Drosophila melanogaster: one gene and its partner. The protein of the gene in region 2 purifies or fractionates together with the protein of the main gene of each other region. This does not show direct contact. Each region holds a gene or a part of one and is shown on either strand. Other genes may lie near its edges. The genes, in order: SmD2 and U2A.

What was found.
Region 1: the proteins of U2A (region 2) and SmD2 purify together in Drosophila melanogaster (affinity purification with mass spectrometry, with the first as the bait; one large-scale study listed by BioGRID). This does not show direct contact.

What each region holds. Positions count from the first base shown.
Region 1 is NT_033777.3:6,340,177-6,348,443, forward strand, and holds SmD2 (small ribonucleoprotein particle protein SmD2), read right to left. Parts: upstream 5,736-8,267; 5' UTR 5,597-5,735; coding exon 5,595-5,596; intron 5,461-5,594; coding exon 5,103-5,460; 3' UTR 4,835-5,102; downstream 1-4,834. Other genes in the region: Osi20 (osiris 20), read left to right, coding at 12-414, 481-920; CG17917 (uncharacterized protein), read left to right, coding at 1,825-1,959, 2,160-2,660; CG10298 (uncharacterized protein), read left to right, coding at 2,894-2,974, 3,028-3,510; CG17919 (uncharacterized protein), read left to right, coding at 3,945-4,073, 4,355-4,834; CG18048 (uncharacterized protein), read left to right, coding at 6,017-7,342.
Region 2 is NT_033778.4:7,674,862-7,678,328, reverse strand, and holds U2A (U2A), read left to right. Parts: upstream 1-1,966; 5' UTR 1,967-2,093; coding exon 2,094-2,891; 3' UTR 2,892-2,967; downstream 2,968-3,467. Other genes in the region: LRR (Leucine-rich repeat), read left to right, coding at 1-331, 595-687; CG12107 (uncharacterized protein), read right to left, coding at 3,239-3,434. UniProt on the Drosophila melanogaster protein: Involved in pre-mRNA splicing as component of the spliceosome. Associated with sn-RNP U2, where it contributes to the binding of stem loop IV of U2 snRNA.

The DNA of each region.
Region 1 (8,267 bases), on a different chromosome or scaffold from region 2:
TTGGAAACACAATGGCTTTCCGCTCCACGTCCTTGCTCGCGTTCGGTTGTGCGCTGCTGCTGGTGGCCTCCACATCCGTGTCCGGTGCTGCCATCGAGAACGCGGTGACCCCGCGGATCCACAGCTCCGACGAGCTGATCTCGACAATTGTGGATAAGTGCTTCCATGCCAATGCGATGCATTGCCTGAAGGAGAAGGTGCTCACCTACCTGGACACGGTAGCCAATGTGGAGGAGGAGGTCAGCGGACGCGCCCTGGGTGACGATGTAATCGACAAGGTCATTGTGGACCGCCTGGGCCGCATTCTGAACACCAACGAGATGAGGTTGCAGCTGCCACAGACCTTCTTCGCTGGTTCCGTGGTGACCTATCGCTCGGATCGCGGTTTTGATCTGGAGTTGCCCAAGGATGAGGGTCAGTAGTCATGCTAAAATCACCCTTTATATGTAATGCGATTGTAATTATAAGTAATTCCTTTAGGTCGCGCTGAGAAGAAGAACAAGGACAAGCTGTTCCTGCCCCTGCTGCTGCTGATGAAGTTCAAGCTGAAGGTGATCATGCCCATCTTGCTGGCTCTGATCGGTCTGAAGGCCACCAAGGCTCTGATTCTGTCCAAGATTGCCATCAAGCTGGTGCTGGGCTTCCTGATCTACAACCTTATCCAGAAGTTGGGAGGCATGAAGATGAACATGGTGCCCATGCCCGCCCCAGTTCCGGCCAGCGAATACGGAGTGCCCAGCACCACCGCCTCATCCTACGATCCCAGCAGCTGGGAGCCCATGAGCGGAGGTCCCTATGCCCGTTGGGACTCGCAGAACCTGGCCTACAGCTCGTACCATCCTAGCAGCTCGTCGTCCTACTCCTCGGGATCCTCGTCGGGATCCTCGGGTTCTTCGTCCAGCTACAGCTCGTCCTCCTAAACGGGGAAAGTCATTCGCCCAATTGTACATACCAAGGAATTTGCGATCCTTCCCAGGAAGGATGGCTGCGAGTCACACAGACCAAATGGAACCGGAACCTGCCCCAGGCCATAATTGTAGTTGTTAGGGTTAGGAACGCGAGAGTTTTAGCCATTCTTCAGCTCTAACCACATCCCCACTTAGCCTGATTTTACCATCTTCTTCATACCATCTTCTTTCTCATTGACTCTTCGTCCTTTTGCCTTCGTTTCTTTGTCACAAAACGACCAAAAACTGAATTTAATTAATATTTATTTAATTTATTAAAAATGCAAAAATTTAAAACATTCATCAACGTTTTTTGGTACGGAAATTGGTAAATTAAATAAGATATAATAACTTAATATTTATTATATTTTGTGCAAGGTCATTTGCAATCTGAGAATGATTCGATCTCGATCTAATTATGATTCGATCTTGGATAGATCGCGATCGTTGACAGCGGGCTTTTCTCTGGGTGTATATAATATAATAGAATTTTAAGTAAATTCATTGATGTGCCTTACTTATGAAGTGCTCTGGGCAATGGCAAGTAAATGAGGGGTCACGTAGCATAATAGTCAACTAAACGAGGTACTAACTGATTTTATAGTGTATGTTTACAGAACTCGCCAGCACGCAACTGCTGTGGGTGGTGGTAGTGAACCATTAATTGGCCTGAGACACGACAATTTGTTTTATGAAGTTGTAAGGAAGTTGCAAAGTACCTTAACTTAATGGAACTGACATCTGTGTTTGCTGCTTAATTGGCCAGGCAGAAAACATATGTTAGATGCAATGGGTATTTAAAGCCAGCAATCAGCCAATTTGAAGTCAGTGAAAGACTTGGTTCACAATGTTGGCTAGCATATGTATCCTACTTTTCATGCGATTCGCGCCAAGCTTGAGCCTCAAATCAACTAGAGGAGTTCATCAGTCGGATACGGAAGTGAGCAAGATCATGAGGTCCTTGGATGTGATACCAGATGTAATACACATCGGACCGCAGGAGTTTCTTAATGTGAGTAAAACACAAATAATGATCTCATAAAGAATTATTTAAGAGATAATATTCGGATATCTAAGAATTTGAATTCCAATTTAGTTTAACCAAAAAAATGTATGCTATGCCCAATTCAACAATTGTATTTCTAGGCAACTGTTCAAAATTAAATAATATACTTTTAATCATATTATGAAATTGAATTGCTCCCACAAAAGGTTACTTACCACGGGCATTTAGCAGCACATTGTGGAAAGGTACTGGAACCCATGCAAGTGCGTGATGAACCCTCCGTAAAGTGGCCCTCGGCACCGGAAAACTACTACGCCCTGCTGATGGTGGATCCGGACGTACCCAATGCTATAACACCCACGCACCGGGAGTTCCTACACTGGATGGTCCTCAACATACCCGGCAATCTGTTGGCCCTTGGGGACGTGCGCGTGGGATACATGGGTGCCACTCCGCTGAAGGGGACCGGAACCCATCGGTTCGTCTTCCTGCTCTACAAACAGAGGGACTACACCAAGTTTGACTTCCCGAAACTGCCGAAGCACTCGGTTAAGGGTCGCAGTGGCTTTGAAACCAAGCGGTTCGCAAAGAAATACAGATTTGGCCATCCGGTAGCTGGGAACTTCTTCACATCCCAATGGAGCCCCGATGTCCCATCCCTTATCAAAGCCATCTCGCACAATGCCCGTCAAGTAGCACACTTTTGAATTTAGAGTCCAGCTTCCAATAAAAATAATTCCAAATATATCTCAGAAGAAGCTATTGAAAGTATGTCCTTATAAGGATATTTAGGTCAGATTACAAGGACACCATTTTTGGAAATATTGGCTATCTATTGACTATCAGCCAGAAATGTTAGAATTAAAGTCGGCGTAGCCTTAAAATACGAAATTTTCTGGCACCTCAAATTTCATTTTAGTTGTTGCCCACTCAGCTAAAAATGTCCGATTCCACCGTGTGCTTCTCTAAGCACAAGATCGTGCCGGATATCCTGAAGACGTGTCCTGCCACTTTGCTTACGGTAAGCTAATACAAATAGCGCCTACAATCGTCCATGTCATTTTGTTGTTCCAGGTGACTTATGGTGGTGGACAGGTGGTGGATGTAGGCGGTGAATTGACACCCACGCAAGTGCAGAGCCAGCCAAAGGTGAAATGGGATGCAGATCCGAATGCCTTTTACACGCTCCTCCTGACCGATCCGGATGCGCCCAGTCGCAAGGAGCCCAAGTTCCGCGAGTGGCACCACTGGCTGGTGGTCAATATTCCAGGGAACCAAGTCGAGAACGGCGTAGTTTTGACCGAATATGTGGGTGCAGGTCCGCCGCAAGGCACGGGGCTTCATCGTTACGTCTTCCTGGTCTTCAAACAGCCCCAAAAGCTCACTTGCAACGAGCCCAAAATCCCAAAAACGAGCGGCGACAAGCGAGCCAATTTCAGCACCTCCAAGTTCATGAGCAAGTACAAGCTGGGAGATCCCATTGCCGGAAACTTTTTTCAGGCACAGTGGGACGACTATGTGCCCAAGTTATACAAGCAACTATCTGGCAAGAAGTAGTATCTTTCTCCTCATAATTAGGCTCCCAAATCCCTACAAAGCATGCTGTAAAGAAAAAGAATCATGTAAAAACAGATAAATTTCTAAATATCTATAATATATATTTAAAAAATATTTTTTTTCAAATCCAGTCCCTTTAATTACTCTATTACCAACTGGTATAATTTGCAAATAATATGAATAAATGTATAATAAATATAATGTATAATAATAATCTATAATCTCCGAAGCGAAACTTTAAACAAAGATAACTTTAATTATTGAGTATATTTTTTCCCAGCTGTTTACTAAACAAAAAGCTTCGAGCTTCGCTTTAAAAGTATGGCATCATGGCAAACTGGTTTCAGTTGCAGACCAACCTTATTCGAAAGCGGAGCTCCTATATATTGGTTTTCTCAAGATCTTATCGTCTACCGAATAATCTCTCCACAAAGATGCTGCGAGTGCTACTGCCATTGGTGGGCTGCCTACTGGCCGTTCAAGCTGGCTCCGTGGAGGAGGTTTTCAGATCCCACCAGGTGGTACCCGACGTTATTCCCGAGCCGCCGAACCAGTTGTTAAAGGTGGGGCCACTAACAAAAGCACACTAAAAAGATCCAAATATATAGAGGATATCTTTGTCTTAATAAATTGGATCCGAATAGTATGTACTCAACTACGTGCTTGCAGACCAGGTTAAAATATTTCAAACATTTAACACCCGAGCTTAATAGAAATCTAGATAAATATCTCGTCACAACTTTCTGATCAAAGGTCAGAAGGTAGCTAACTTAAAGTAAAGTAGCTGATAGATCGCAACAATGTAAAAATCAAGCAAATAACTGTGAAATCGTTCCTATTCAAGGTCACGTACAGCAACAACCTGGTGGCCAAGGATGGAGTGGAGCTAACGCCCACCCAGGTTAAGGATCAGCCAGTCGTGGAGTGGGACGCGCAGCCCGGGGAGTTCTACACGCTCATTATGACGGATCCCGATGCCCCCAGCCGAGCGGAGCCCAAGTTCCGCGAGTTCAAGCACTGGATTCTGGCCAACATCGCCGGCAACGACTTGGCAAGTGGTGAGCCCATCGCCGAGTACATTGGCTCCGGCCCGCCCCAGGGCACGGGTCTGCATCGCTACGTCTTCCTGCTGTACAAGCAGTCCGGCAAACTTGAGTTCGACGAGGAGCGCGTGAGCAAGAGATCCCGCAAGGATCGCCCCAAATTCAGTGCCGCCAAGTTTGCCATCAATCACGAGTTGGGCAATCCCATTGCTGGAACTTTCTACCAAGCCCAGTACGACGACTATGTTCCAAAACTGCACAAGCAACTTTCGGAGAATTGATTCCGTTTTAATCTTAAACAGATACTTTAGGAAAAATCGATTAAAAGATGTTAATCAAAATATAAGAAATTGCGATTACGGATTGTACTTTCGTTATACAAATTTATAATGGGATATGTTACTGGGATGGGATATTTTCCGTCGTAAATTATAGCTCACACTTTTAATTAATGGCACATTTTGGTCCACAGAACTTATTTGGTTGATTTACGGATTTATTAACTGAAGTTGATGGATATTGGTTGCTGTACGCTATCGCTATGGTAGACTACTTGCCGGCCGCCGTGGCCAGGGGATTCCTTAGGACCAGGATGACAGAATCGCCTCGCAGGAACATCTTCGATATGAACCGATCCTTGTTCACGGGCTTCACCTTCTTCTTGCCCTTACCGGTCCGCGGCAGCTCCGTCCACATCTCCTTCACGTTTTCCAGTACCATGTTGCAGTGCCGATCGAAGGCCTTTACCCTGCCCAGCAGCTTCTTGTTGTTGCGGCAGTTGATGAGCACCTGGGTGTTGTTCTTCACGGACTGCGTGAGCACGGACAGCGGGCCGGTGTTAAACTCCTCCTCCTCCTGCCGCGCCAGCTCCTCCGGGGTCAGCTCCGATTTCGGTTTCACAAGAGCCCTGCAGAGAACACAGTACATTAGTATTTCACCCACAACTCGAGCGTGGTGCTAACAATGCAAAATGCCGGCGCACATGCCGCTGCCAGTTACGCCATTTCCGATGGTTTGTCCCATCTGCCCCGGGATACTTACATAGCGGATTATAACTATGGCTTGTTAAATGATGTTGATAGTCTTCTTGTTTCGCTTCTCAGTTGGTTTTCTGCGTTTATTGTTGGCAAAAGTATTCAGCGCGGCTTCGTTTTTTTTGCAGTGTTACCAGCTCTGAGGACGTTTGCACTCGACCAGCCCTGAATTTCAAAGCTAACTATCGGCGTTTGGCATTCGCGTAAATTAAATAAACTATTATTTTGAAAAATCAAGCTCAATTTGAGTTTTTTATTAAAAAACTTATTAAAATATTCAATGTAAGAAGTGTAAACATATTTAAGACCATAGTTAAAACATTTTTGTGAAAAGTTGGTAATAGTGTTATCTAGTGTGCCAGCCTTGGTCACACTGCCTGGCACGAGTTCCGAATTGGGAGGAATTTATTTTGAAAATAAAAGTAACGAATGGAACCTGTGAAAGAGACGATGACCACTGTCAAGGCGGAGAAGCCGGTAACCACCACTTGCTCCTACTGGGTGTTACGCAAAAAGCGCCGCTGCAAGATGACTGCAAACAAGGGCAGTGAGTTTTGTGGAGCCCATGCCTCATCGGCAGCCACCACTGCAACTTGCGATGAAAAAGCTAGAGAAGATTCCTTCCAGGAACGTATTCCCTGCCCGCTTGATCACAAACATACCGTGTTTAAAAGAAAACTAGCCAAACACTTGACCATTTGCAATGCCAGGGATCAGGAAAGTTCACTGCCCTACATTGTAAAAGGAGTGAATTCTGGAGACAATCTTAAGGAAACAGACGAAGATTTGAACAAATTCAATCAAATAAAACTGCACGAACTGGCGGATGAAGAGTTCTACAGTCTGATCGACAAAGTTAAGAATCTGTATGACAAGCACATCAATTCCAGCATACAGGAACTGCAGCTGGAGCACGAATCCCTAAAGGAGGAACTTAGTCGCAAGGACTACGGCCAGGAAACGCTACGCCAGCTCACCCAGACCACTAGCTTGCTGGGCATCCTGGAACACGATCACCAGTTGATGGATCACACGAGCTATATAGAATTCGGAGCCGGAAAGGGACAATTGGCCTACTTTTTGGCCACCGTATTGCAGGAACAGAAGTTGAGTCACTCACAGGTGGTCCTCATCGATCGAATGTCCCTGCGGCACAAGAAGGACAACAAGTTGGCCAACAGGGAGGTGGTGCAACGTATCCGTGCTGATATCGCTGATCTTAAGCTTTCTGCTCTGCCGGAGCTAAAGAAAACCCAACGAACGGTGGCTTTTTCGAAGCACCTCTGTGGAGCAGCTACAGACTTGACCCTGAGATGTATACTCGGTGATGGAAATGCCAGCTCGGACTACGTTCTCATCGCCCTGTGTTGTCATCATCGCTGCTCCTGGCGCTCCTACGTGGGACGCAAGTTTCTTCAGGAAGCTGGAATTGGACCACGGGAGTTCGTTATCCTAACCAAAATGGTCAGTTGGGCAGTTTGTGGCACGGGCTTAAGCCGAGAGCGGCGTAAGGCCATGGAATCGGCTGACTTTCAGCTCACCGAGACGAACACGCAGCGTCTAACTCGCCAGGAGCGCGAACAAATTGGCCAACAGTGCAAGCGGGTTCTGGATTATGGACGACTGGAGCATCTACGATCCCACGGATATCAAGCAGAACTTAAGTTCTATGTTCCCAGGGATGTGACTTTGGAAAACGTGGTTCTGCTGGCCAGACCGACCAGCCCTAAGCTGGACCAAAATAAATGCTGTTGACTTAAGTAAAATGACTTTTCTCCTTCCTTAATTCATATCCTGCTCCTGGATTTAAATTTTTCATTATTTACTAAAAACTAGTGACGATCGCACCATCGCCATAAAAATGTTCTGATGTCATCTTTTGTGACGAAAAATATTTAACTAGGAAAATGCAATGTCATATTTTTATTTCGCTTTATTAAAATATTTATTAGCTAGGAAGACATTTTTATTGAAGCGGTCCGCATAGGTAATTTTTTTTAGTTGTAGAATTAATGTTTTTTATATCGAGCTATTTTGCACAATTTAAATGGTGTCATTACCATAAAATGTTCATGCAAAATTTATATATTGTTACAAAAAAGAGTTACGGAAATGTTGACAAATGACATAGCTTATTTTGAACTTATCTTTTACTATTTATTACATTTAAATTTACCAACATGAACAATATTTTGGAGAATCGGATTATTAGAAACCTATTTGAATTTAACTAAGCGTTTGTTAAATAGTCCCATATCCTTAAAGACTTTGATGTTCTTCAACATCATTGGAATGACCCTAATTTAATCTTTCATTTACTGATGGACTAAATCGAATATAGACTAGATTAGTAAAAAATGCCCAATGTCCTGTCATCCGAGCAACCTCTCTTTTTATGGGCTTGCTTTTAAGAAGATTTTTAGACCAACGTGAGCTAGTAACTGGCTAGGAATGAACCTATTGAAAGGAGTATGGAAGGAATTAGTCACTGACACTGACTAATACAAGTACTTGCATTACAGTACTTTCCAGGCCTGAAATGGTTGGCTAAGGCAAGTTTGAGATCATTCGATTGACTAATGCAATCTTCCACCCGCTCCCAATTGTTTATCAGTGTATATCACCGACGAAGAGATCTAAGCCGTTCTATGACTGAACTCATTATTTAATATATCCCTCT
Region 2 (3,467 bases):
AGGCTCCACCTCCAATAGTGTATCAGTCAGCTCATCCACGAACGCCAACACATCGATGACAGTATTAAACCAGAGCCAGACACGATCACGGATCGTAAGCTCGACCAGCAGCACTGACAGCACCGAGACCATCACAGAGCGCAGCACCACCAGCACTAGCAGCAGTTCATCCAGCAGCTACGAGAAGCAGCATGCCAAGGCCTGTGCCAATTTAATCAGCAACGAAATCCTCAGTATGCGCAACGGACAGTTGGGCGCCAAGTCTGGAAGCTGCGCAGAAAGTGGTGGTGTGAAGCGGATAGCCGGCAAGGAGATCTCCACGCTATTCGAGGTTTGATCTCCGAGGCCGGAGCTGCAATGCGATAACTTTTATTCATCAGCGATCAAAATTGGCTGGCTACTTCGCTTGGTTGATTTCGGTGCTCATCCTGTGCGTCTAACATTCGCATTTGCTGCATAGTGTGTATTCCTTAAGTTGTGTCGTATTAGCCAGTATGCCGCATTTTGCCTGTAATTTCATCTAGTTTGTGTTTGCCTGTTTAGCTCCTATTTAATCGAGCCGTCTAATAGAATCACTCTTCCACTTACCCACAGGAGACATTAGTTGAAGAACTGCAGCAGAGCATGGCGACCAGACGCGGTTTTAGAGACTCGACCTACACCAAGGAGGATGTCGTTGATTTATAAGTGTTCTAGTTATATGCTCAACATTCCCTCACGTCGATCCCTAGTCCTTCACCCAACCTGCCACAGTTTCACGTGATAGATAGTAGGGTTGATGATAACGTTAAGTGATGATACTGATGATAAGGAGGAAATGAGATGAAATGGTGAAGACAGAAGGATAGAGGGAAACAAGGTTGCAACTTATCGTACTGAACCATTAATTTATGTGCAATGCCGCGTGTGTGTTGTTTTCATTTGGCAATTTAGAATGAACGTGATTTATTTATTGATACAAACCCTGATACTTTTATCCAAATTAACCTTTGCATATTTTTAAAAATGTTTTGTGTACTATATTTTATATTTTTATGTATTTAAATCAGTTAAGTGCCAATTATATACAGAATTAATCTACAAATATTTTTAGCGTGTGCTCTACATCAATTTCAATGAAACTAACGAAAATAACGCAATGAATATGATACACTATACATATTATGTAATTCGATTGAGTGTATAAGAACTATTTTAATGGGCTAAACCTAAAAAAATCTAAATGAAATATAATATTTTTTATAACTGCTTCCAAATACAAACTTTATGGTTTATTATTTCCCCTTTTCTGTTTACCTCCCCTATACACATACTTATAGTATTTATAGTATTTAAGCGACAATCCGTTTTCAAATTTTGAGGCGCGTTATGCCGCCAGAAACAAATGCATTTATTTAGAAACAAGGCGGAGACCGACGATCTTATTGATTATTTTCTAAATAGTTAACAATTTAAGAAACTAGGCGAAAACGAAACCGATATAAAATTACTAAGCCATTTAACAACAGAAAACCGAAATCTATAGAAAACTAATTACCCTTATCGCAAAACGATCAACTTCAATTTTGATGATCTAGTAGTTTGCACCAACGACACAGAATATATTCAGAGCAGCGTTTAAACTTTAAACCAGTCCACCACCGACCACACACTTCGAGTTTTGAGTGTATCCCGTTCTCATTCAAAACCCCGAAACGAAATAAGAGAAACTTAACGTGTTCATTAAAGTTAAGCAATTAAAACATCATTGTAATCTATTGAAATTCAAATTAAACGGAAACGATATTGGACAGTAGTGTTATTTATTTATTTTTGAATTTCGAAAGATCAGGGGCCCTATTGGCAGCATTGGAGTAATCCCAGTATTATTACGATATTTAGAATGGTAGAAGCCCAGCAGACCGATAAAATACCAAAACATTGTTACCACTAGATCTATCGATAGCGATGCCGGCATTGCTTGCTATCGGAAAACTGTTCATCACCAACTCGCGTCGGCAGCGAATTGTTTTTCTGCATTTCGGAAAATAAGCTTCAAAAGAGTATAAAAAGACCGAGTAAAGACCAAACGTAAGCATACTATAACTGCCAAGATGGTGAAACTAACGCCGGAGCTGATAAACCAGTCGATGCAATACATAAACCCATGCCGGGAGCGCGAGCTGGATTTGCGCGGCTATAAGATTCCACAAATCGAGAACCTGGGCGCAACTCTGGACCAGTTTGATACCATCGACTTGTCCGACAACGATCTGCGCAAGCTGGACAACCTGCCGCATCTGCCGCGCCTCAAGTGCCTGCTGCTGAACAACAACCGCATCCTGCGCATCAGCGAAGGGCTGGAGGAGGCGGTGCCCAACCTGGGCTCCATCATTCTCACCGGCAACAACCTGCAGGAGCTGAGCGACTTAGAGCCCCTGGTCGGATTCACCAAGCTGGAAACCATCTGCCTGCTTATCAACCCGGTATCCACGAAGCCCAACTACCGCGAGTACATGGCCTACAAGTTCCCGCAGCTGCGGCTACTCGACTTCAGGAAGATCAAGCAGAAGGACCGCCAGGCGGCGCAGGAGTTCTTCCGCACCAAGCAGGGCAAGGACGTGCTAAAGGAGATTAGCCGGAAGTCCAAGATGAGCGCCGCAGCCGCCATAGCTGCAGAGGCGGGGAATGGCAAGGGAAGGGGATCGGAAGGCGGACGACTGGCCAATCCGCAGGACATGCAGCGCATCCGCGAGGCCATCAAGCGGGCCAGCTCTCTGGCAGAGGTGGAGCGTCTATCGCAGATCCTGCAAAGCGGCCAGCTGCCGGATAAGTTTCAGCACGAGATGGAGGCGGTGGCACAGAACGGGGCGGGGCACAACGGTTCGGGGGCCGTGGCCATGGAATACTAGGACTAGAATTATCCGCTCATCTGTCAGCTACCTTATAACCGTAGACCAATATTTTTTAATAAAACACCAAAAGTTGATTCATCGCATTCTGCATTTCGGACACTCAAAAACATATAGAATCTTCTGTTTTCAACTAAGACCGCTGGCCGAAGGATCTTTCACGGAAAGATTCGGGACAATCGGTCACAACAGAAATGCATTTACATGACCGTAATTGGCTAAAAGTTTAACAATCTACAGCGAGTACAAAGGGGACACAAAACGAGAGGAGCTGCTGGCTTATGTGGAGAGTGGAGTGGTGTGGTGTGGACCTGGCTCCTGGAATCCGGTATTGCTGGGGAGTGTTATTAAGATCCTTTCGCCGCCATTATGGCGTCGTAGTGCAGGCCAGTGTAGAAGATGATCCACGTGACCAGGAATCCGGCAAACGACGTCATGAACCCCTCCTTGATCAGCTCCCATACCCCTCCGTAGGCGTCCTCGTCCACGTTCTGAAAGTTTATGGCGTACAGGTAGACGATCCCGCAGCTGATGCCGGCGAATCTGGGGGCGCATTGGATTGATTAAGTGAAGTGA